Linked DNA regions of Caenorhabditis elegans. The protein of the gene in region 4 interacts with the protein of the main gene of each other region in a pairwise test. Each region holds a gene or a part of one and is shown on either strand. Other genes may lie near its edges.

What was found.
Region 1: the proteins of nhr-67 (region 4) and peb-1 interact in a two-hybrid assay, tested with the Caenorhabditis elegans proteins (one large-scale study listed by BioGRID).
Region 2: the proteins of nhr-67 (region 4) and drap-1 interact in a two-hybrid assay, tested with the Caenorhabditis elegans proteins (one large-scale study listed by BioGRID).
Region 3: the proteins of nhr-67 (region 4) and F49H12.3 interact in a two-hybrid assay, tested with the Caenorhabditis elegans proteins (one large-scale study listed by BioGRID).

Annotation. Positions count from the first base shown.
Region 1 is NC_003284.9:2,209,463-2,217,064, reverse strand, and holds the start of peb-1 (FLYWCH-type zinc finger-containing protein peb-1), read right to left. Parts: upstream 6,015-7,602; coding exon 5,970-6,014; intron 4,824-5,969; exon of another isoform or gene 4,533-4,823; intron 3,608-4,532; exon of another isoform or gene 3,485-3,607; intron 3,430-3,484; exon of another isoform or gene 3,048-3,429; intron 2,831-3,047; exon of another isoform or gene 2,483-2,830; intron 2,260-2,482; exon of another isoform or gene 2,074-2,259; intron 1,836-2,073; exon of another isoform or gene 1,619-1,835; intron 1,436-1,618; coding exon 1,313-1,435; intron 1,246-1,312; exon of another isoform or gene 1,124-1,245; intron 1,115-1,123; coding exon 1,013-1,114; intron 958-1,012; coding exon 784-957; intron 427-783; exon of another isoform or gene 164-426; intron 1-163. UniProt on the Caenorhabditis elegans protein: Putative transcription factor. Binds to specific sequence motif 5'-[TC][AGT]TGCC[GA][AT]-3' in regulatory elements of target genes such as myosin myo-2. May modulate gene expression, perhaps acting in opposition to transcription factor pha-4.
Region 2 is NC_003283.11:9,730,195-9,734,522, forward strand, and holds drap-1 (Transcription factor CBF/NF-Y/archaeal histone domain-containing protein), read left to right. Parts: upstream 1-1,764; 5' UTR 1,765-1,970; coding exon 1,971-2,043; intron 2,044-2,320; coding exon 2,321-2,562; intron 2,563-2,611; coding exon 2,612-3,235; intron 3,236-3,339; coding exon 3,340-3,396; 3' UTR 3,397-3,828; downstream 3,829-4,328. Other genes in the region: cal-7 (EF-hand domain-containing protein), read left to right, coding at 3,909-3,999, 4,043-4,110.
Region 3 is NC_003284.9:2,082,820-2,085,572, forward strand, and holds F49H12.3 (Potassium channel tetramerization-type BTB domain-containing protein), read left to right. Parts: upstream 1-1,555; 5' UTR 1,556-1,556; coding exon 1,557-1,729; intron 1,730-1,863; coding exon 1,864-2,059; intron 2,060-2,105; coding exon 2,106-2,177; 3' UTR 2,178-2,238; downstream 2,239-2,753. Other genes in the region: F49H12.2 (uncharacterized protein), read left to right, coding at 2,469-2,574.
Region 4 is NC_003282.8:11,167,820-11,175,334, reverse strand, and holds nhr-67 (Nuclear hormone receptor family member nhr-67), read right to left. Parts: upstream 5,588-7,515; 5' UTR 5,502-5,587; coding exon 5,465-5,501; intron 4,175-5,464; coding exon 4,074-4,174; intron 3,459-4,073; coding exon 3,361-3,458; intron 3,264-3,360; coding exon 3,134-3,263; intron 2,926-3,133; exon of another isoform or gene 2,796-2,925; intron 2,187-2,795; coding exon 1,917-2,186; intron 1,867-1,916; coding exon 1,697-1,866; intron 1,286-1,696; coding exon 1,010-1,285; intron 962-1,009; coding exon 793-961; 3' UTR 544-792; downstream 1-543. UniProt on the Caenorhabditis elegans protein: Orphan nuclear receptor that binds DNA containing an extended core motif half-site sequence 5'-AAGTCA-3'.

The DNA.
Region 1 (7,602 bases), on a different chromosome or scaffold from region 4:
AAGGTCGAATCAGGATTTGAAATTCGATGCACTTTACATTGCGTCAGAATTGACCCTTCCGATGACCCAATTCGGAAGAATTCGCAAAAAGTTTGTACCGTCAATTTGAATGGCAGCGACGCAATAGATTTGGGAAAATTGGCGCATCTAGGTTAACGAGTCGGGTGGTATGGCCCAGCCTGTCCCCGCGCGCGCTGCCGCGTGCCTGCCATCCATGGCTTGACCTTGGCAATGCGCGGATCTGTTTGCGAATTATTCGCGGTTCATCAACATGGGAGGGAGGAGGGGGGCAAAATTGCGGCACGCGCATGAGTGGCCGATGTTTCGAACCGTGCCACGCTCAGATTGTTTTATTTGACCTGACCAACATCGCAACTGACCTAGGCACTCGGCGGCGCCACCCAGCGCCGAAAGTAGCGCATCTCGTTGCACTTTTAACTTGTATACACAAACTATTTTTGACACACTCGAAAAGGGCCGACGATCTTTTTTTTCCATCTACTGGTGCCATGAAGTGAATTTTTAAGGGTTACGAAATAAAAAAAAGTTATCTTTTTTGCACGTACACACAATTCCCTTAGACACTCTCAAAAGCTAGAGGTTCCACATGACGTTATGAAATTCGAACTTGAAGGCGCCAAGCCTAGGAACCAATTGGAACAAAAAGAGTCAGCTGGCAAATTCAACCTTATGATATCGGTGCTCTGATCTGGCACTGCGCCAATTGCAAAGGGCACTAGCTCTTAACCTAGACAGTTGTGACTGTGTAATCTCGCCACGTACCTTGATAAATTCGATCTCAGCGACATGGTGTCTTGGAGGGTGATTGTGTGATCCTTTCGTGCATGCGTTTTTATTATCCATGGTTGTTTCAGCTCGGCATTTGCACCACTGCCCATCATGCATTTTCTTAGCGCAAACGCATCTCCAAGACTTGAAGTTACGTTCTGGAGCAATCTGAAAAAAAACAACTCGTGATGAAAGTCACCACTTGAATGATGGTCTATGATACCTGATAAATATTATATCGGTAGCCTTGATACATAAGTTTTTGATATCCTTTGAAAGATGTGACAATTTGTGGAATGTCTGGATTGTATCGGACAAATGAGATCTGAAAAAAAACTATTATTATCGGCCCAAAATCGCCAGTTAAGGCGGTGTTTCCCGGTGTCAGGTTGTTTTGAAATTCGTGTGGGAAGGAAGCCCTAAATTTTCCGTCTGAACAAACACCGGTCAACTATGCAAACGTTCTCTTTCAAAACTATGTTTGCCCTTCGGACAGTCCAAACAGTTATCTCAAAGTACTTACCTTTTTCTTTTCCTTGTCCGGTGATAGTGGCATACTGCTCACGCTAATCGGAGAAATGGCGGAAGTATCAGTGGAAGAAGACGAAATGTCTGATGATCCAGGCTTTTCAAGACCCAGCATTGTCTGAAAAGGAAAATTGATGTGTTAAATCAAATGAGCAAAAAAAAATAGCGATGGGAGCAATAGAATAATAATAACCAAATGACCTCTGATGAATTAGAAATTGAACTCAAACTAGACAGATGATGAAAAAGAGATATGACCAACGAAGAGAGATGTGACAAAAAAAACGAGCGGACCTGCTGTTGGATAGCGAGCGAGGTTCAGACACCTAGAATCAGACGATTTTTTCTCATCTATCTCTCCGCCCCAGGCACTATCAGTTGCTTGGGGCGGACAAATCAGCTGATGGGGCAGTCGAGAGAGGCGCGTGCCATTTGAACTGATAACCTATCGTGGCAGGCACCAACCGGCTGCCAACTAAGACACCGAATACTGTTATTTGGATGAGGTGCGCGAGAACGAGAGTGGCGAAGAGATAGAGGATGAGTGACCGGCAGGAGGCACAACTGACTGTACGGAAATTGGCGAGAAACATGCGTTGAAACGAGATTGACACATTCACTTTTTTTTTTGATTTTGGTAAATTTTGTTGAGGTGGTTGGTCGAAATTTCAAAAACAGACTAAAGAAGGGTTAAAAAGAATACAGAAGTATATGATTATCATTATTTAATTCGGAATTTCTAAAGAAGATAGAACAAAAAGTTGATAGCGGGGCAAAGCAAAATTCTCGGAAAAGAAATACAGTAACCAGTTTCGATGGCACACATTCCGCAACATGCGGCGACTTTTATCGAGTAATGGTGTTTTGACTTCGTTGACCCACAATTCCTTCCATCTATCTTCCGCCAGCCTGATCATAATACTTTTTTGACCGCTTTTCCATCCATGGAATACTGCGAGGAAGTGGCGCGAGAAAGTAAAGGCATGAGGTATAACGAGTACCGTTCCAAGTTTCACTTTTTGTTTTTGTGGCGGGCGAGGGGGTCATCGTCGAAGAGAAAGTTCGAGTAAAAGTGACCAAAAATGAAGCAAGTTTTGCAAATAGGCACCAGAAAGGGGGTCTCCAAAAAGTTATTATATCCGGGCCAATGGAAAGTGTGGGATGCCAGGACGATTACCGAAAAAAGGGCCGCGCCGTCGCCGCCCGCATGACCTAGCGCGGAAGACACGGATTGACACCGGATTGATGGATTCGGGAGAGAAAAAAAAAACCACAAAATTAGGTAATTGAGGGCGAAGATTTTGATAAGAAAGGCGGAAGCCAACGGCTTGACCCAATCGCGTGGCACTAGTCCGCATAACCTTGATGGAAACTATTACTGTTGCAACATCGGCAAAGTGCAAGGTCCTATTGGACATCGGCGCAAGACGGCGTCAGCACTTCTCGCGTACGATTCGCCATTTATGGCGGTCAGAATTCAAGTGTCTAGTAATCAGTGGCCGACAGAACAAACATTTTTCTTATCAGTATGTATATGCTTGGTTCAGCGAAAAATTGCATAATACCGATCCTGGAACGGTCGAGCACCACTGGACAACAAAAATATTTGTTTGGCATGCTTACATGCTGATAATACCTATTTCAAGATGATGGGAATTGTATAGAAGCCGAAGGTGAAAACATATCAAACGTTAAAATTAGGAAGGTAATCGTAACAAGACTAGTAGTAAGGTAGAAATACAGTAAGCGTGAATCTAGAGAATCGCAGTCTGAAGTTTCACACCTTCCGCTATCCATATTCTACTGGTAGTCTAAAATTCCGATGGCGGCGTCGGGTGGAAGTGAGAGGGGGGGGGGGGGGGCGGTTCAGTAAGGAACGGGGTCAGGCTGCCTGCCACGAAGAACCGCGAGGGAGAAGGCCTTTGCCTCCTCCATCTCCTCCTACTTCTACATCCACAACATCTTCTTCATTTCAATCGGCCGCCTCCCCCCTAAATGAACAGCCAACCCCGCCAAAACATCCGCGATCCGATGGTGTGAGGCACGCGCGCGCATACGCCGTGCCCTGAACCATTAGTAGTGGATGATGATGGTGATGAGGAACGAAAATGAAAGAAGCGTCTAACGAATGCAAAAAAGATCACAAGGGGCAAAGAGGTGAAAGGCGTGTGTACATAAAAACAACTCTCGAAATCCGCCTTGTCCGACATCCAAGTATGGTAACTGCGTCGGCAGCAGCAATTTGGCGCCAGTCGCCGATCCACTCTCACTTGGACGTTTTGCCCCCAATATGGAAGGTTTTTTCATCTAATTATTTGACCGGATGTCAATTTCTATGTCTATCACGAAACGTTTAAAGGCAGATTCGTCAATTTGAAAAGATCTGGAAAAAAAACATTGCTGGAGCAAAATTACAAGTCTGGAGTCGGCTTTTCGTTTCCAATTAGTCAAAAAACACACACATACACATACGCCACCATCTGGGGTTGTCAGGAAAGGTGATGGATGGACATCTCTATGGCAATCGGGAGAGGGCCTAGAACAAAGGGGTGCCAGTCTCGGATCGGTCAGATGAAATCGTTTCTCTCCTACAAATTTTTCGAAATTTTGCAATCGTCAATGATTAGTTCGATATCCAGAAAATTGGTATAGATGATATCACATATTTACTACGGGATCCATGAATGCCCTTCATTTTCACGTCGCGCCCCCCCCCCCCCCCCCCCCATTCTCGAAGAAGTCTTAGAAGCTGCAAAAGCTCGTAGTCAATCTTGTCCAGGATGAGTGAAAGGCGATTTTACTTTCTATAGCTGAACCTTGATTTGGAGAAAGTGAAGAAGGGGCAGCTAGGAGAAAAGAAGAAGAGTGGGCATTTACGCCAAGAAAAAAACTGAACACGCAAGACTGGTCACTTCATGAAACAACATCTAGCGCTTCTAAAAACTGAAGTGGTCTAGAAAATTAGGAGAAAAATTGTGAAATGGAACAATGAACGCGCCAAGGCAAAACGAGTAAAGTGCGTTACTGGTGCTCCACCCTTCCTGCCTCAGAGATTGACCCCCTGTTCGAAAATTCAAACATGAAATAGTGTAAAAGAGAAATGATACACAATTGATAGCTCTAGTACAGGGAACAAGGTTAGAAAGGTCATTAGTCAACTATGGAGTGCTTCCAGTTGCCACCACTGACAGTAGAAGTGTGGAAAGTATGTGTGCGAGAGCCCGGCGTGAGCCAAAATGGAAATGGGCGGTCCGAACGGTTTCGACAGTGGAGGAAGTGGGAGCCATCCGAGTTGTGACAACCACGGTGGCGGGTGCCCGGCCGGAAGGAAGCACACATCAAGAGTACAGTACGAAAGGCCTTTCCGCAAAGGGGGGGGGGGGCAAACGGCAAACAATGACCCTTCGGGGCGTGTATATATTGTGCTTCGCATCAGTTTGGCCACGTCTCGCGCAGTACAGAGAGTGGCACGTAACGCCACTGACCAGCCAAGTGCAAACTTGTAGACAGGCATCGCAGCGCCGAGGCACTCCTCCAACCTAGTACTATATTTGCAAATGTTGGTTCTCTCTGCCTTCATCTACTTAATCTTTCTCTCGAAACTGTTCCCTCGAAACCGCGCACTTTATATTACTGGGTGGTTTTAGATGTTGCCCTTTTCTTCCGCGTAAAGTCATAAAGAGGAAGACGTCAGAAACTATGAGCCACAGAACGAAAAATACTGCTAGTTTTATATCAAAACTTTTCGGAGAAGGCAAGCAAGCGTCGACGGTCAGAAAAAAAATATAACGACGAGGGCGAGCTGCAAGTATCACTAAAAGTGAAAACGATTGGCAAGCGGACAATAAACATGCGGTTACGCAACAAAACTTTCGCGCATTGGTCATGCCCCGGCGCCTAGCACTGTCCGGGCTCGTGTGCAAAGGTCGCTGACTCATCTGGCGCGGCCCATTGAAGTCGAGCAGGGGCAAAATGGTACTGTCAACTGATATGTTGGTTTTTTAATCAAAGAGCTGATTGGCAATGGTACAAGCCAGCACTACTTTCCGCCCGTAAAGGAGAAACATAGAGAGCTTTTTGGTTGCAAAATGTAGAATGTTAAAATTATACAAAAGATAAAAACGCATATGAATACTGATAATTAACTGAAACTGTGAACCATTGATAAGTAAATGTGTACCTATCAATTACAATTTACTCCAACATTTCCCCGATTAGAAAACTAAAATGTGAGAACACAACAAAAAAAACTACATTAATTTTAAAAACCGCTCGTCTCCAAAATTTCTTGACATCTCCCAGAAAATAAAAATGGAATGATAGATACCAAGTCAATTTAATTCATATTCCCCCCCGTAGCCATATTTGGCAGGCAGAAACAAACGACGACACGTCACTGAAACGAACGGGGTGAATAGGAGAACAAACCGAGAAACAGAGAAGCACACGAGAGGGGGGGGGGGGGGGGTTTATGGATCTCAAGAAAATGCATGATGTTAAAGTTTTGATCATCACATCGTATTCTGACAAATAGATAGAGGGTAACTCAGCACAAACCCCTTGGCTCACGCAAAGGACAAGAAAACAGTTGTGCAAACTCAAACCACCGACTGAAAACGCCTGTCGCTGAACAAATCTAACTGGTCACTCACCTGGTCAAGCCGCCAGCAATTTTTTTGAACTGTTGTTGTCATCATCAGCCCCAGTTTGGAATATCCAGAATGCTTCCTTTTCTCGGTGTTTACTCGTTTCGTTGCCCTGGAATAAAGTACACATTTATATTGATCATAACAGGGCACAAACTGAGCAGGGTGCCTTTCACGAAGAGCTTGAAATGACCTTTTAACACACACACATACACACATCATGGTACGAAATACATCTGGGAAAAGGGTGATGGTTGTAAGAATAAACTAATAAAATAATGAGCAATTGGAGTTGCACTATGTGTGTCAAACTGGAATTGGAAATTGGAAAAATCTCAGTTTTTGTTCGAGGCATAAACTCTAAAAATTTCCACTTTTTGACTGTCAGTAAAAAAAACATTTCAAACGATTTTTTTTGACTTTTTAAAAGTTTTAATACAAAATTTGATTATTTTGGTATCATATATGTAGCACTGCTCCACTTTTGAAAAATCGTTTTCTAATTGGTTACAGTGCTTTTCAGAAAATTATACAATGGTTTGCAACCTGTGGTGTGGTGTGTGTGTGTGTGGGTGTGTGAAAAAGGAATTAAATACAAGAAAGAGATGAGTTGGATGCAATAGATGGGTATATGGTGACGACGTCTTCGCCGGACGCAGATTGTTGTTGTTTGTGGCAGTTCCGCGCGGATCAAACAAATAGTATGTCAGCGTGTAGATGCGCAGGCAGATACAAAACGCGGCGTGCGGGCACTAAAGTTCGTGACCTGTGATGGGTCGCGGCAAATTCGGAATAGACCGGGGGGAATGAGGGAGAGGCGGAAAACCAAAAACGGCGAGACACAAACTAAGGCTCAAATAAATGACGAGTCGAGCGAAATACGTGATTAAACTTTTCCAATACAGTCTCAGCGTATTTTTTTTTCGGGCCAGCGCCACCCTCCACGCTCGTGAGACACTTCTATACTACTTTATGAATCCGGCAAACTTTTGGATGCGTGAGTGTGCCGCTCATCATACGCCCACATTTGTGAGATTGGAAAATAAAAGTGCAAAAAACCTGAAGTAATATGCCTTTTTCTTGGTTGCTTACATCAACTGGAAATCACATTTTAAAATTGATGAGTTCAGTGGGGTCCCTTGTGTAAATATCAATTACTAAAATATTGGCACTTTCAGTGATGTCTTCAAAAAGCAATGATTTGATTAACTTCTCGACCTAATGCGATATCTGAAAAAGTTCACAAGCAATTCTTATCTTGATTTAACTGATGGTCTATCCGTCTTTGTTGTCGCTTGTCAGTACCACTTGCCGTGCCGATTCGGTGCCGTCCAGTGTTTCGCATCCAATTGGCCAACGAAAGGTCATTCATCCGACTGAACTAAATTATGGCATGGCAGAATGACAGTGTTCAGGGGTAGAGTTTTTTGAAATTTGCAACTATCTGCATAGATCACATCAATTTATTTTCAAAGTGTGACTGTTCGGCCTGTGCATTATTTAAAAAATTTTCACATGTTCATCCAAAAATCTCCAGTGCAGTCCCAAAACCGATGGAAATCTAGAGAAAAAAACCCGGAGCAAGTGATTTGTATAATCGAGATATAATCTCAGTTGTCTGATTTTAAAAACTTTTCAA
Region 2 (4,328 bases), on a different chromosome or scaffold from region 4:
TATTGAAAATCGATAAACTAAAAAACTCTGCATAATTAAATAGTAAATTCGTGTTCAATTTCGTTCTTTCCGAAAAACAATGTTGAATTCAATCGTCGACTGAATTTCTGATTTTTTTTTCTGAAAAGATATCACATTTTCTATTAATTCTAAGTAGTCTGAACCAGCTGGGCGACAATTCCAATTTCGCTATTTTGACAGTTAAACAATTGCGGAAAATACTGAGTTATCGAAAGTTCATCAATTCATCAATTTCCAAAAATGCCGATTGCTGGGAAATTGAAAATTCTCTAAAAATGTTCATATCCAAGAAGAAAATCTGAAAATCTGTAAATTTTTATAAGTTAATATACAAAGAAAAATTAGATAAATCTTTTGCCACAAAAACTTCACTGCTGTACGAATTAAATTTTCTTTCATTTGTAGATTTTTTTCAAAATATTTTAAATGTGCACAAGACATTTGGCCAAATTTTTAACTTGATCAATGTCGATCAATATATTTGCCGAAAATGTTCTTTTGCCGCCCATCCTGGTCTGAACTTAAAAATGTTTGCGCAAATTTGCCTCTAAGTTTTTTTTCTAGTAAATTGGAGAATAAAAATTCGCAAAAAGATCTCAATCACCTCATAGGCAACAATTGCAAAAATATCCGTTCAATAATTCTTTATGCAAATACTGAACAGTTAAGATAATTTCATCATTTCAATATCTCGACTTTGCTTCACAAAAGAACAATCAATAATTCGACGGCAAGCTGACAAATCAGCCATCTATCCATCTGTCCGTCTGTCCACACAAAAACATACAAATCGAGTATGCGGAGGAGGAGTCTATGTTCTTTCCCTCAACTCTCTGCTTCTCTCATCTTCTCTTCCCTCTCATCTCGGCCCGTACAGCTGCATCAAAGACTCTCAAACATCGGCGCGGCGCGGGCGCACGCTAAATAAAAGGGGGAAAAGGTAGTGAAACGACACGTGGAGACGCAGAACAAGCAGCGGGTACCGTAGTCGCGCAGACCTGCGAATCACCGATTTGTCCGCTGTATATAAAGGAGGGAAGAACGCGAGGTCTGCGTGTGATCGGCCAGCGCCTTTCTGCTCCTATTCTCCGTTTTTCCCCCTTCTATCTCCTCTTTATACACTATTTCCCTTAGATTCTCTCGTCTCCTCACCGAAGCGCTCAATCACTCGTCTTTACGCGCTCTCCTCCAGTCCTGGCCAGTAGATGTGTAAGTGTGTGTGTGTGCGTTGACATCGAATCGAATCGACACGACGCAGAATGGAATAAATGGCGTTATCATTAAAGAATGAAATAACCAAAATGAAAGCGAGAAATAGAAAAAAGGAAGATACCATCACGCCTCTTTTTTGTTATCAATTGTTGTACTGATGTGATGATCTATATTGTTATAGTGATCGATGAGACCCGAACGGCTGTGTACATACAGAACATATAGAACATAACACACTTGTTGCGAAACGGAGTTGCTCTAACGGGAAATGAAATATAACAAAATCTAATTATCTGAATCCCTTTGTTACTGAGCACAGAATATTTTAATAATTCCAATCAATATCAAATAGTGACCATTAATTTTAGAAAAAAAAGTTTGCGTTGATTATTCATGGGCTCTAAATGTCTTTTCCAAAGTTGTTAAGAGAGCTTCTATGAATGAAACATCATGTCCTTCTTTCATGGTTCAATAATCTCTCATTTCATCGCTTTACCTCAAGAGTATTATACAGTAGCTTCCAACTTTCAGTTAGTCTCAGGCCCATCATCGATGACGTCTTCGGAATAGTTCTATATCTCTCGAAAACCACCCGTTGTTCGTTCTTTCTCTCTCTCATTTTGTGCCTCCAAATCTCCACAACATCGTCTTCTCTCGTCAGCAACGTTTCCGTCGGAGACACTGACACTTTTGGAAGGAAACCAGAGAATACATATTTCGAGAGAGGAGAAAACAAGATGGATCAGAATAGAGGAAGCGATGTTGGCTTTGCGGTGCCGATGTTACCCGTCAATTATGCATCGGCTACTCGTTAGTTTTGACCTTATCTTTTAGGGTGGATGGAACAAAAAAGAAACTCGATTATAGATAATCGGAAAACGTACATTCATAAAATCTTAAAATGAAAGCTTATTTATTTTCAAAAACCCTTAATTTGTTTTGGGTAAAACCGTCAGTATCCGGCATCATTTCTGGATCATGAACTATCTAGAAACTTCAAAAAATATGCGACTTAAAACAATTTGTAGATGTAATATCTAAGAATTAACAGATTAGGATCAAATCGTTATTTAAATTTATTTTTCAGAAAAAATGTCAACGTTGGCATCCACTTCATCAGCCGGTGCTTCATCATCAACAGGTAGCAGCAACCAACAGCAGCAACAGGCAGCTGCTGTGATCCGAAGACGTCGTTTCAGCACTGCAAAAATTCAGCCAACACGCATAAAGAAGGTTATGCAAAGTGATGAGGATATCGGAAGAATGGTTCAGTCAGTTCCTGTCAGCATCGGAAGAGCAATGGAGCATTTTGCGGAGAAGTTTTTACAGGTGAGAAGACTCAGTCATAGTTATTTTGAACCTTGAATATATATTTGAGGCTGCCGCAGAAGCTACTCAATTCACATCTTCAAAGACGCTAAACCCTCAACACATGAAGCAGGCGGTTCTCAACACTCCACACTTTTCATTTCTAGAATCAGTCTTCAAAGATGTTGCACTTCCACAGCAAGCATCTGAATTGAATACTGCACGTACCGGCATGACATTGAGAGGACAGCAAATGCTCCAAGAGCAACAAAATTCAGATTTTGCTAGTGCAATTCTTGCCAATGCGCAGATGCAAATGATGCAAATGGATCAACAAGCATTGAAACAAGAAGATGGAACTATTTCTCCTTATTTAGTTGATCCGCAATCCCCAGCAGCACCACTTCCACTTTATCTTCAAGGGATTCCATCCAATTATCCAGTAGTTCAAGAACTCACAGCCACCGTACCACTTTCTCCTAGCACTCCGACAACTCAACTCGTAAATGGTATGCTAGGAATGCTCAAATACTCGAAAAAAGATTCTGAAGGACAACGTCTCACAGGATTAAAACGAGCATCTACTGATGGTGATGGAGAAGACAGACCAAAGCGAGGACGCCCAAAGAAGTTAAAACCTGAAAAATGTATTGATGATGATCTCTACGAGGAAGCTTCTAGGAATATAGCCAAGGTAATATTTGAAAAGTTTAGACATAGAATCAAAATGTTCTAAAGATGTAATTTGATTTACGGTTCTGTGATCCTTTTGATCTAAAGCAAAATTATCATTTTCAGGAAGACAAGGATCGCGAGTTGATGCCTCCTCCAGCACTGCCTATTGGCCGTCCGTGATCCTCACTTCTCTATGAGAAATTTTATTCTTCTCCTAATCGTGTACTTTTCAATGGTCTCGTTGCCCTCCATTTCTGATCTAAATTTCTCCTTTTCTATTGCTCCAAGTTAAGAAAAAAAAAACAAATCCTCACCGGGTCTACCCTATTCTCTATTTCTCTTGTTTTATTCATTTTTTGTCGTTCACTGGCAAATCAAAATTTAATCACTTCGATGTTCTCCCAATATGAACCATTACCGACCCACACCTTCATAAATCAGGATGCTCGTCGCTTTTCATTAAACCTTCCAAATGTTCTCTGTCATATGTTTAACTTGTTTTGCTCTTTGTCTCTCTAATTCAATTTTTCTCTTCATTTTTATATTTGTCATGCTTTAGAATTCAATTTCCGTTTTTGTAGTATTTAATATAAAAATTATTCAACCAGAAAACGTATATTTCCGACAGAAAAGACCACTAAACTCGCGCAACAACTAGAGCGATCTACATTATATTAGTATTCAGCTAAATTATGGATCTGAGCGAAGATGAAGATTTATTAAACATTGAAGAAGAAGGGGAAAATGAGAGCCAAAAAGAAGAAGTAGATTCTGTAATTGTTGGTTTGTAATATTTTGTCCAATTTAAACAAAAAAGGAAGTTCAGAAGATATTCGACGTCGTCTTTTCGATGTATTCAAGATGTTTGACGAGGATTCTGATGGTTTGATTGAAGTGAGGATTACTGTAGTTACTGTTGAAACTTGGCTTTTCACGTGGTGCTTTTCTCCAACTTTCTACTCATTTATATCATTAAGAACCGGATCAAATAGACATTCCACCTAGTGTAGGCGTCACGGGGAGCCTATTCCCGCCTTCCCACTCGCCTTCCTCGCGCCCTTCAGTAGGGTGAGTGAAGAGGCGAACACGCCTCGAGTGCATGAAGTTATTTT
Region 3 (2,753 bases), on a different chromosome or scaffold from region 4:
AACTGGTCAGGTGTAATTTGGGCATGAAATGCGCGCCTCTTCAGTCAGGCCTTTCATTCTTCCTTCTTTTCAACCATATTTCATTCTCGCGCTTCAGCCATTTTGCACTTATTCACAGAATTTAGACTTCACATGTGTTTCTTCCACTCTTTCTTCTATTTCTCTTGTATCAAATTTCAATGCCCAAAAGAGACAGCCTTTCTGATTCGAGCAAAAGATTGGTGGAGCATCAAGCTAAACATGGCAGTTCCATTTCCCATGTTATTTTTTATATTGAAAAAGAAGACCTCTGGGTCATTTCCTCTCGTTTCCCATTGTCTGACAGCAAATAAATGGCGCGGTAGTTGAGTTCAGTTTAGTTCATTTCCCGTGATACGTCAAATCCTTTTTTTTTACTCTTCTTTTTGCGGTGGTCTCTGTTTGGGAACGATTGCATGTGAAAATGTTCTTATTGTGCCAGTATTGTTTCCTGAAAATTGTTTCCAAAAATTAATACATAATAAATGAGAAAATACACCGAGCTATTTGACCACCTGCTCTTCTAGTGTGCATGTGCAAAACGTGCTAGTATTGCGAAATATGGAGTGTATCTAAAGCTTATCAAATGAGCATTTGATAGATAAAAATGGATTCATCCAATTTTTTATCCGTTTTTTGAAATATAATATGTGTTCAGGTTCTATTACTTGAAATACTGAAAAAAAAATTATTGCTTTTATAGTGTTGTAGATAATAATTAAAGGTGCTCCTATATTGCTAAAATGCTAATATAGTTTTAAATGCTCCTATAATTCAAAAATGTCCAAATATCGCAGTTAAACTGTTGGGAAAACTTTTGAAATGTTCAGTTTTGTAATTAAACAGTTGGTGAAATTAGTTTTCATTTATCATATGTTTTGGTAGTCGGCCGTCGGCTAAAACAACGCAGAAAATTTGGCAAGTCATCAAAACTTTGACTGGAAATGTTAAAAAATCTAAAACTGTTTCAAGTGTTCTATGATGACTAATTTGAACTATTATACATATTTTAAAATTAAATCTATATTAAAGGTTCTTCACTTATTATACATTCGTCAAAAAAATACACCTGTTCAAAAATTTAAAATTTAAAAAAATCTAAACTTTAACTTTTTGAATAGTGATTGTTTGAAAATAGCTTTCAATTATTTTATCATTGCTGACATTAACGTTTCACATTTGAGCAAGTAATACGCAGAGCTCATACGTATTTGCATGTACGCTGCTGGCTCACACCACCTTTTCTTTCTCTCTCAAATATGTATTCGCCCGTTCTCGTTTCTCTCTCACCGGCTTATGAATCTCAAATGTGGGGTGGCAGAGGGGCCCCCACTCTGTTTTGTGCTCAATTCGAATAAGTGGTGGTGCCCTTTGAGAGATGTCCAATGACATTTTGTGCTTAACATTTCATGAGAATTGTCTTTCTTCGTACATCTTTTCCAAGAACAGAAACTTTAACATGTTTCTTTTGTTTCTTTGAACTAAATCTTTTACGAATTTATTATTCCAAATTTTTTATGTACACAATTTCGTTCAGAATGTCCGAAACACTGATAATTCGCTTCAATGTTGGAGGAACTCCAATGGCAACCTTGAAGACGACTTTCCCAGTTGACTCAATTTTCCACAAATGGTTTGTGTCAAGAACAAAGGCGTCCCCATTCACAAGCGACCGAGATGGCGCGTACTTTGTCGATAGAGACCCATTTTCGTAAGTGAATCACAAAGGTATTTATTAAAATTATTCTCATGATTGTAATTTGGTAATTTGGAAATTTGGACGATGGAAATTATAATATATTGTAGTTGAAAAAAAAAAATAAATCTTTAAATACTTTCTTTCAGATTCGGCGTCGTGCTCAACTATTTTCGTCTCCGGAAAGCTGGACAGCTTTGGGAAGCCTGTCTACCAAAAGACCCAGACAGGTTGGCAATGCTGACACAGGAAGCAGATTTCTTCCTTCTGCCTCAACTACGTGATCAAGCAATCTGCATGCTTCAGCTATGTAGTAATAAAAATGATTCCAACTATATAAACGAGGTATTTATATACTTAAAAACTATGATAATTATCTGTTGAATTTCAGATGCTTGCCAAAAGCACAAGTTGCCCGCAAGGATTTGACAAAAAAGAGGAAGAGGATGAAGAAGATTTTTAAATTCTGTAATAAATCTATATTTTGTGATAAAAGCTACAGAATAAACGAATTCTTCTTTGCGGTTTTGTGGAAAATTAACTACTTACTTTCACTAATTGACGTATTCAATTCTCTACAAAACTATTATTTATCTGGTAACAAATTCCGTTTTTTTCAACAACCAATGTATGTTTGCTAACGTGGCCCCCTGCCAAAAAATTAGCAAGTCATCCAAAACAAAAAATCCCCTTAGAAACGCACGTGTCTACCACTTTTTGAAACTATTCCCGAAGATTTTGAAACTTTTTTTTAATGCTTGCTGGCGATTTTCAACGATATGTTTGGGTACAGGGAGAACGGAAGCGACAAAAAAATCGAGAAAAGTATGACGAGACTAGAAAGCGATACTTGGATCATGGTTAGTTTTTCCACGTATTTTGGATGTTTTATATTGTTACGAAATGCCGTGTTTTCTCTATTAGTATTGCACACCGTGGGCCAACTTTCACAACATACATCTCAATTGCCAGTTTTCCTTTACTAGTAAATTTGTCAACTGACGAAATTTTTGTCAATTCCTTTTTTTAAGTTTTGTAG
Region 4 (7,515 bases):
ATTACTGAAAATATTCCATGTTTTTTGAAAATTGCAAATAGATACCGAAACTTTGACTAAAAACTTTGAAAAATCTTAACCATGTTGGTTATTTTTCGGATGTTCTGGATGTTCAAAAATGAGTTTAAAGCATTTTCTTTATAATATTGGTTGTTGTTCTGTTAGTTTAAAACTTTAAATTAGTCAATAAATCTCAATAAAAAATATTCTAGCATAATCAGGTTTATCTACAAAAACGTAACGCGTTCAAACTATTGACAAAACCATAAACAAATCATTAAAAAGGGGGAAATCAGTCAGCTAATGATTTGGTCATCTAGTTGAATGGGAATATCAGAATGATATGGATATGATAAGAAACGAGGCCATTAACAAGGAAAACGACGATGACACAATATGACATTCAACCGTTCCATTTTCCAATAAATCTCTCGGTTTCTCTCCCATCATTTATTGATTTCTATTGTTTTTTATGTTTCGAATCATATGTAGTCTTCTCAAAACTGTATGATTCACCTTTTTTTAATGATGTTTGTATGCCAATTGCCATTGTTGTAAACGTTTTATTCATCTGTTCACAATATAAATCAGAAAATAATAAATTAGTTTTAAAGCTTACCATTTTTTTTCTCTAAATTTAAATTAAAAATTTACAATTGAAAAATGAAATTTTGAAAGTATAAATCAAAATCCAATGAAAATCCGGGCGAGGCAAGAAACGGAGTGAAAAAGACAATGAAAAGAGATACTTAGAATAATTGAGTTACTGTATATGAAACATGAATTTACTATCTAAACCTCTTCAACATTAACACTCTCTTCTTCTTGAATTGATAATAATTCAGTTATTGATCGAATCGAATGACGTGGTCTTGAAGAGGAAGGGGATGATGCCGATGAAGGCTGAGTTGAGGAATTAAGAGCCAAGAAAAGTTGAACGGGATCCAGTTCTCCGACAGATCTGCAACAGACTCAGTTAATCCACTGTACTAATAAATGCTCATCATACCTATCATCAGTAGAAGAATTTTCATCAAATTGATTGCTACTCGTCGCATCATCCTCTTCTTCAATATCTTCACCCTCTTCAGTTTCGGTTTTTTCTTGTTTTAATAGAAAGTTCAAATTGAAGTTTGCCATTGGAAACAGTGACGTAGGAGTGGGTTGTTGTGGTGGCTTGAACATGTCTTGAATAAGTCTTGGCATTGAAGCTGATCCAATTGAAGGGCGGAATAGAACATCAATTATTGAAGTTGTTGGAATAGCGGCAATTGCATTTATACATCTGAAATAGGTTTCAGACTGTGAAGTTTTCAGAAGGAAAGATGGTACTAGAGCGTTTAGTTTTCATTAGTTTTCAATAATCAATTTCGCTTTTTAAGCAAATAGGAAATAATTTGCATTTTTTGTGAGAACAAAAAACACTGCTTTTTTAATTGTGGAATTTTTTATATTTTGAGCCGAAAAATGAACTTTTGAATAGGATAATCGTACAAAAACTATAAATGAACTTTTTCAATTGGTTAATTAATTAATTTTAAAAAAGAATTAGCAACCTTCAAACTAGCAAATACAATATTTAATTAACTTTGATCGTTGCAACCCACTCAGAAAAACAGCGTTTACCTTTATAGTGAAGTCTCACATTATTCCAAAAATAAGAAAATTGAAAAAAAAAATAAAAAAAGGAACTTACTGGATATATCTCGTCGGTTCGGTTCTATGTGTGAAATTCTGAATAGATGCTAACTGAAAGACAATTTGAATTGCACTTGGTGTATCTCTCCACATTGTGAAATGTTTCAACATCATGTATTCTCTATTATCCAATTGTAAACGTTCAATTATTTCAAACGCGTTAGCAACCTGAACATTCATTAATTTTTCAAAATATTCAGATTCATATTACTGCATACCGCATTTCTTTGCTCTGAGCTACCGGATATCGTCTCAGTCCTTATTTGCTTAGAAGTTATGGCACGTGTTTCAGTTGCATGGAGAACAAGAAGTGCTGCCCAATTTTGTTGAAACATTGTCATTTGCCGTTCTTTAGGTACTCCATTCAAAGGATTCTGACAAAATCCAACAAGTGCAAAAAAGATTCGAGCAGCAGTACCGGCCACTGTGTCACGATTCATTGATGATGTCGGAAGAATTATTGCATCACTTTCTGATCCCATTTCCGGCTGAAATGAAGGAAAATTAAAATCATCTACTTAATAATATTAACTTTTTCACTGAAAGTTAATTATAGAAATTTTAGACATAATTTCCTCTTGTATACGATATTTGCTAATTCTTCCAATCAGCTGTCCCTAACAAGTACTTATGCAACATAATCATTTGACACTATGTTGTCCCCACTTAAGATCCATAAGAGCACAATATTATTGAGTAATTTGTATCCGAATACAAATAGAAACATTAAAACATCTGCCCCAGAATACACATATATTCACAAGTTTTTGAAACTGGCTGATTTTTCAAGGTGCTCTTTTTTAAAGAATCTGTCACGGTTTTGGCACGTATTTGGTGTTTAACTGATAATTAGAGGATATTTTTTTGAAATTTGACGTTTTGAGAAAAACGTACCACAAAAAAATTAAAATGTTTTGTTTAATTCTTCGATAATTGCCAATTCAAAAAATTGCCAACTTAACGAATACTCAGCACTTCCGGCAACAACCAAGTTACCGTGTTGTAGAAAATTGCAATTCATTGCAATCATATTTCTGACCATGCTCTATATCCTAGGTGTTCCCTTCGCCAGTAAAATGTTTGACTATGTTCAAGAGTGACAAATCACCTGTCAGGTGGTACTGTAGATTTGTACAGCAACCGACAACTTTTCACCTTTTTTACTTTTCGTCGCCGCCGCGTCGGTGTCAACTCGACCAAAATCCACCTGCGGATTACTGTACTAATTCTACTCAAAATCCTTTTTTCACTTCACTTTAGTCACTGATTTTTGTGAGTGAGAAAGAGAAAGATCGGTAATCATGAGATTTAAATGGAACTATTTTGAAAGTCATTATGAATTCAAAACTAAATTAGAATCGATAAATTTAATTAAAATTATTAAATATTTTGTCCTTGTAACATATCCGAATTTAAGATTCCCACAAACACATACCGAATTAGGAGAGGATCCATGATCGAACATCATCTGTTGTCGTCTTAAACTTGAGTTACGAGGCCCTCTCTCATGTTGGACAGCATCTTTGTTCATCCCAATTTCCAGACACTTTCTTAGTCGGCAAGCTCTGAAATTCTCCAAGTGTCATCAATCAATGTATGGACTCGAACGTAAAGAGCATAAAAGGGGATCGTAACACTAATCTGTGACCGTTAAGAACTCACCTGCACTGGTTGCGGTGTGTTTTGTCCACTTTGCATTGTCCTTCGGATGGACTGCCTTTGTTTTTGCACACGTATTGACGATGACGACGGATTGAACGCTGAAATTTGGAATTGTTGTTCAATTTCAATGATAATTATGCTAAGGAAATTTGAAAGTCAATTCACATTGAAAAAATATTTCATGAGGTCTCAAATCCTAGACATACATTATAATCGGAGCAGAACAAAGTTAATGTTGCAAAATGATTGTAGACATTTTTTGTTGAAGATTAACACATTTTTATCTATCCGGAAATTCAATAATATAACAATTAGTTTCAGCAAAAATTAGTACCTTGTCTAACCAAGGTGTGCGCTTTTAAAACGTACTGTAGTTCAATAAATTTGTTTCTGTCGAATTTTGGATGGTTTTTCGATAAAAATATATGTTTTTTAATAAAATTCAGATGTAACACATACATTTTTAATAAATCAGGAGAAAAATTCGGCAGAAACGAGAGTACATAATTACAGTACAGTTTAAAGGCACATACCTTTTCCCGTTTAATAAAAAAAATTCACATCGAGACCGGTTACCGTATTTTTAGAGCAAAAATGGGAAACTTTCGCGTCTAGATAATACTTTTTTAAAAATTTTCCACTAAAATTTACTCTCAAATTCGAATATTTTAAGCTATCTAAAAAATGAGAGCTCAATAAACATTAAAACTTACTTTAAAGAATCCAGCACACCCGTCGCAGGAAAAAATACTGTAATGCTTCCCCGACGAATGATCTTCACAGACTCTACAATCAACATCCAATAGAATTCGACCTGAAGAAATAATCATTTTTAGGTGTGAAATAGAATGAGGAAATCAAGAAAGCCAAGAAGGAGAGACTCCAATTATTCAGCACTTCCTGTGTCTCTTGCCTGCCTAATTAATAGAATATGAAAAGAGAATGAAGGCAGAATGGAAATGGATTTGTTGAAAGAAAAAGGCAAGAAGTGAACAATATTTCAAATTGAGTTTCTACTTCTTGGATATTGAGTATTAGTTTTGATGTTGTTCGTATGACTTTAAAAAATTAATTTTATTTAACATCATGACCTTTCAAATCAATTCTAGTTCTAGCTAAATGGTGCTAAATCCACAGGTGCCACGTGTCACAATTGACCCGAAACACCTGCATCTCCCACAGAAACTCTTCCATTCTTGTACTAATTCCATCACCTAACTCATAATTCACACCTAATCATTTCTACCATAATATTGAGTCACTATGTTTAATGACTTCCTATTTTACTTATTGGAGTTCTCGTGCCGGGGAGATTAGGAAAAAAAAAGGAATTTTTATGAAAGTTTTATGTGACTTTTTAGTTCTGAAATCAGGGTTCTGAAATAATGTCTTAATTTTTCAGTTAGAAATTTTTTCTCACACTGAAATTGATATGCATTCAAATTATGATATTCACATTAGACATTTCTTCATTTTCTTTCTTCATTCACACAAACTAGTTTAGGTACAACTACAGTAACCCATCTGCACTAAGGCTTCTAGAACTCATATATAAAGATACATGGATTTACTGTAGTTTGTATATTAATGGATTTATCCCATGGAAGAAGTCAAGGTTCAGATTTTGTTAAATTTGAAGACAATGGGTAGTAAAAAAATATTTAAAAAAAAACAGGAGTATTTCATAGGGTTTTCAAAATTTTGTGAAGGTATCAAAATCCTATACGTATGTATCTTGCCAAAAAAGCTCCCACTTTTTTTTTCGATATTATGCACTTCCAAACCCATTTTTAGGAAATTCTTCCCTAAATATTTCAAATTAATAATAATCTACTCTGAAATTGAAATTAAAATGAGAAAATAACAATTTTATGTGGCTAAGAATGTGAAGTATGCCCACCGGGCAACTCATCCTACGTTTATTAATTGCTCAAGATCCCAATTTTAAAATCTGAGTTTCTTTTGAAGTTGGGAATTGGAAAAAAGCTTTCTACAGCTAAAGCCTGGAAGTTTAAGAAAGCTCATTTTTCCAAGAAAGTTCGAAGTAGAAGTTTTCATCTTCTGATTCTAGATGTTGACGATTAACTTTTTAAAATTGACTTACTGCTTGGAACCGACATCTGTGAAACCGCAGTCATCATTCTTGGCGCCAGATTCATTAATTCAAGAATTCCGGAATATTGAGCACACAGATTCCCAAAAGACAAATTCTCTCTTCTTAAGGCGAGAGTGAGAGGCAGTCGGAAAGGCGAAGGCGAGTCACGTCGTCAAATCATGGGCGGAGCTAGCGACCACCACTGACAGCCGACGGAGAGAAAGCGAAGAGAAACGACTCTGAGGGATACTGTAGACGATGCAATAAGCCACGCCCTGATTGATTTTGAGAGTTTTTCTAGTGTACTGTTTTTCAAATATTCAATTTTTTGTTTTCATAGTATCCAGGTGAATGCCAAATTATTCAATTGAGTGGTAGTTTTATGTTAATAGCTCAAGTAACATTGTTCAGAGTACAGAAAATCTAACTGAGGTGCTCTTGTAGTTGAAATGTTTAACTTATTTTGGAAAACTATAAATCTGAAAACCTAGACCACTGTAAACTTTACTAGTGTGTGAAGTTTTCAAGCAACCACTATGATTGACCACACTCTACTCATCTTTTAATTTAACTTTAACTCGGAGTTTTCAATTTTTATTTAATTTCAATACATTTTATCTGCAGTTTGACTTGAACAAATTTTGAAACTTTCTCAATTAAGAAGTGGTTCTTTTCTGGGATTCTGGTTTTTTCGGAAAACAGTTCTGTATCCTTGGTCATGTTATTATATTTGCCCTATATAGTCAATATTACTCTTGAAAACTCCCTTCCTGTCGGATCCTTTTATTGCTCACGGAGCATCCACCTCATCCCAAAAACTTTGTTCTCTTTTCATCCCGCGCACAATCACCACACACTTCTTGCCGTTGTTGCTCCCATTCTTCAGAATGCCTCCTCAAATCTTTTTGGAGGCACAAGTTGAAGGAGTTTTGGAAGACTCAAAAGAGCTCAAAAGACCCGACGACATCCCTGAGAATACTTGACCATTCATTGTCATCAGTAAAGACTTTATGATGAAAAGAATTGGAGCAAAAGTTTTGAGCAGAGGAATGGTAGTTTTGCCGCAAAAAGTTAGATGGAGTCTGGGGTTCTATGTGAAATATGTAGTAGACTGTTTTGAGAGAAAACTTCAGGTCGTGTGAAAAATTAAATATAAATATTATTTTAGGGAAACTCTAGGTTCCAGACTTGCTTGAACCACAAACGTAAAACTGACGAATTTCAAGCTGTATTTTTTACAAACTTCATTTTCAACTTTATTTTTTATATATCAGTATCAGGCATATAGTTCTCTCTCGGAGAGCCAGAACAAAATCGAACCAAAAAACCAATATCCCTTGATTCATTAAAATTTTAATTTTCTTTGAAGTTAGTTGCTGAAAACTTTAACATTGTAACACCGATTGTAAATTCTTAGATTCGTTATTTAATGTTCTACCCCTCTTGTTCTTCAGTAGGTTGTCACAACCAATTCAGTGTAGTCTATAGTATTAGGTTTCTAAGCAAAAAAAAAAACAGTAAAATATTTTTCCAGCTGCCAGGCTCATGGTATTTTAGAACCTAATAAAATTCTTCAAATGCTCATCATATAAATTGAACTCTCTGTGGCTTGTACCACAGGGTACGAACATGACCTCCATTTCATTTTAGTGGTGAACACCTGCATTTCATTTTGATGCTTACGCAATCAAAAATACTTTTTTTTCTCGATTTTACCCAAGAGTAAGACAATGTGTTGGGATTTTACGCAATATCGAGAACGATGCAGGAAAAGGTCGTTGAAGAGAGATAGACAGACGAGGGTCATACAGGTGTGAACTTTTGGAAAACTTAGCGAAATGGTGGGGGGGGGGGGGGGGGGAAGTAAAATGAATAGATCTTCCAATGTTACATTGGATTGTAAATTATTTATCACAATCATGTTTCCGTATAGTATTGCATCCCATCGCTCTATGTACTTGGACAGCTTATGTTTCAGTTGTCTTTTGAGTTGGTAAAAAGTTATCAACTGACAAAACAATTTATATTTTTTCTATAGTGCTTCAATCAGACTTGTGAAC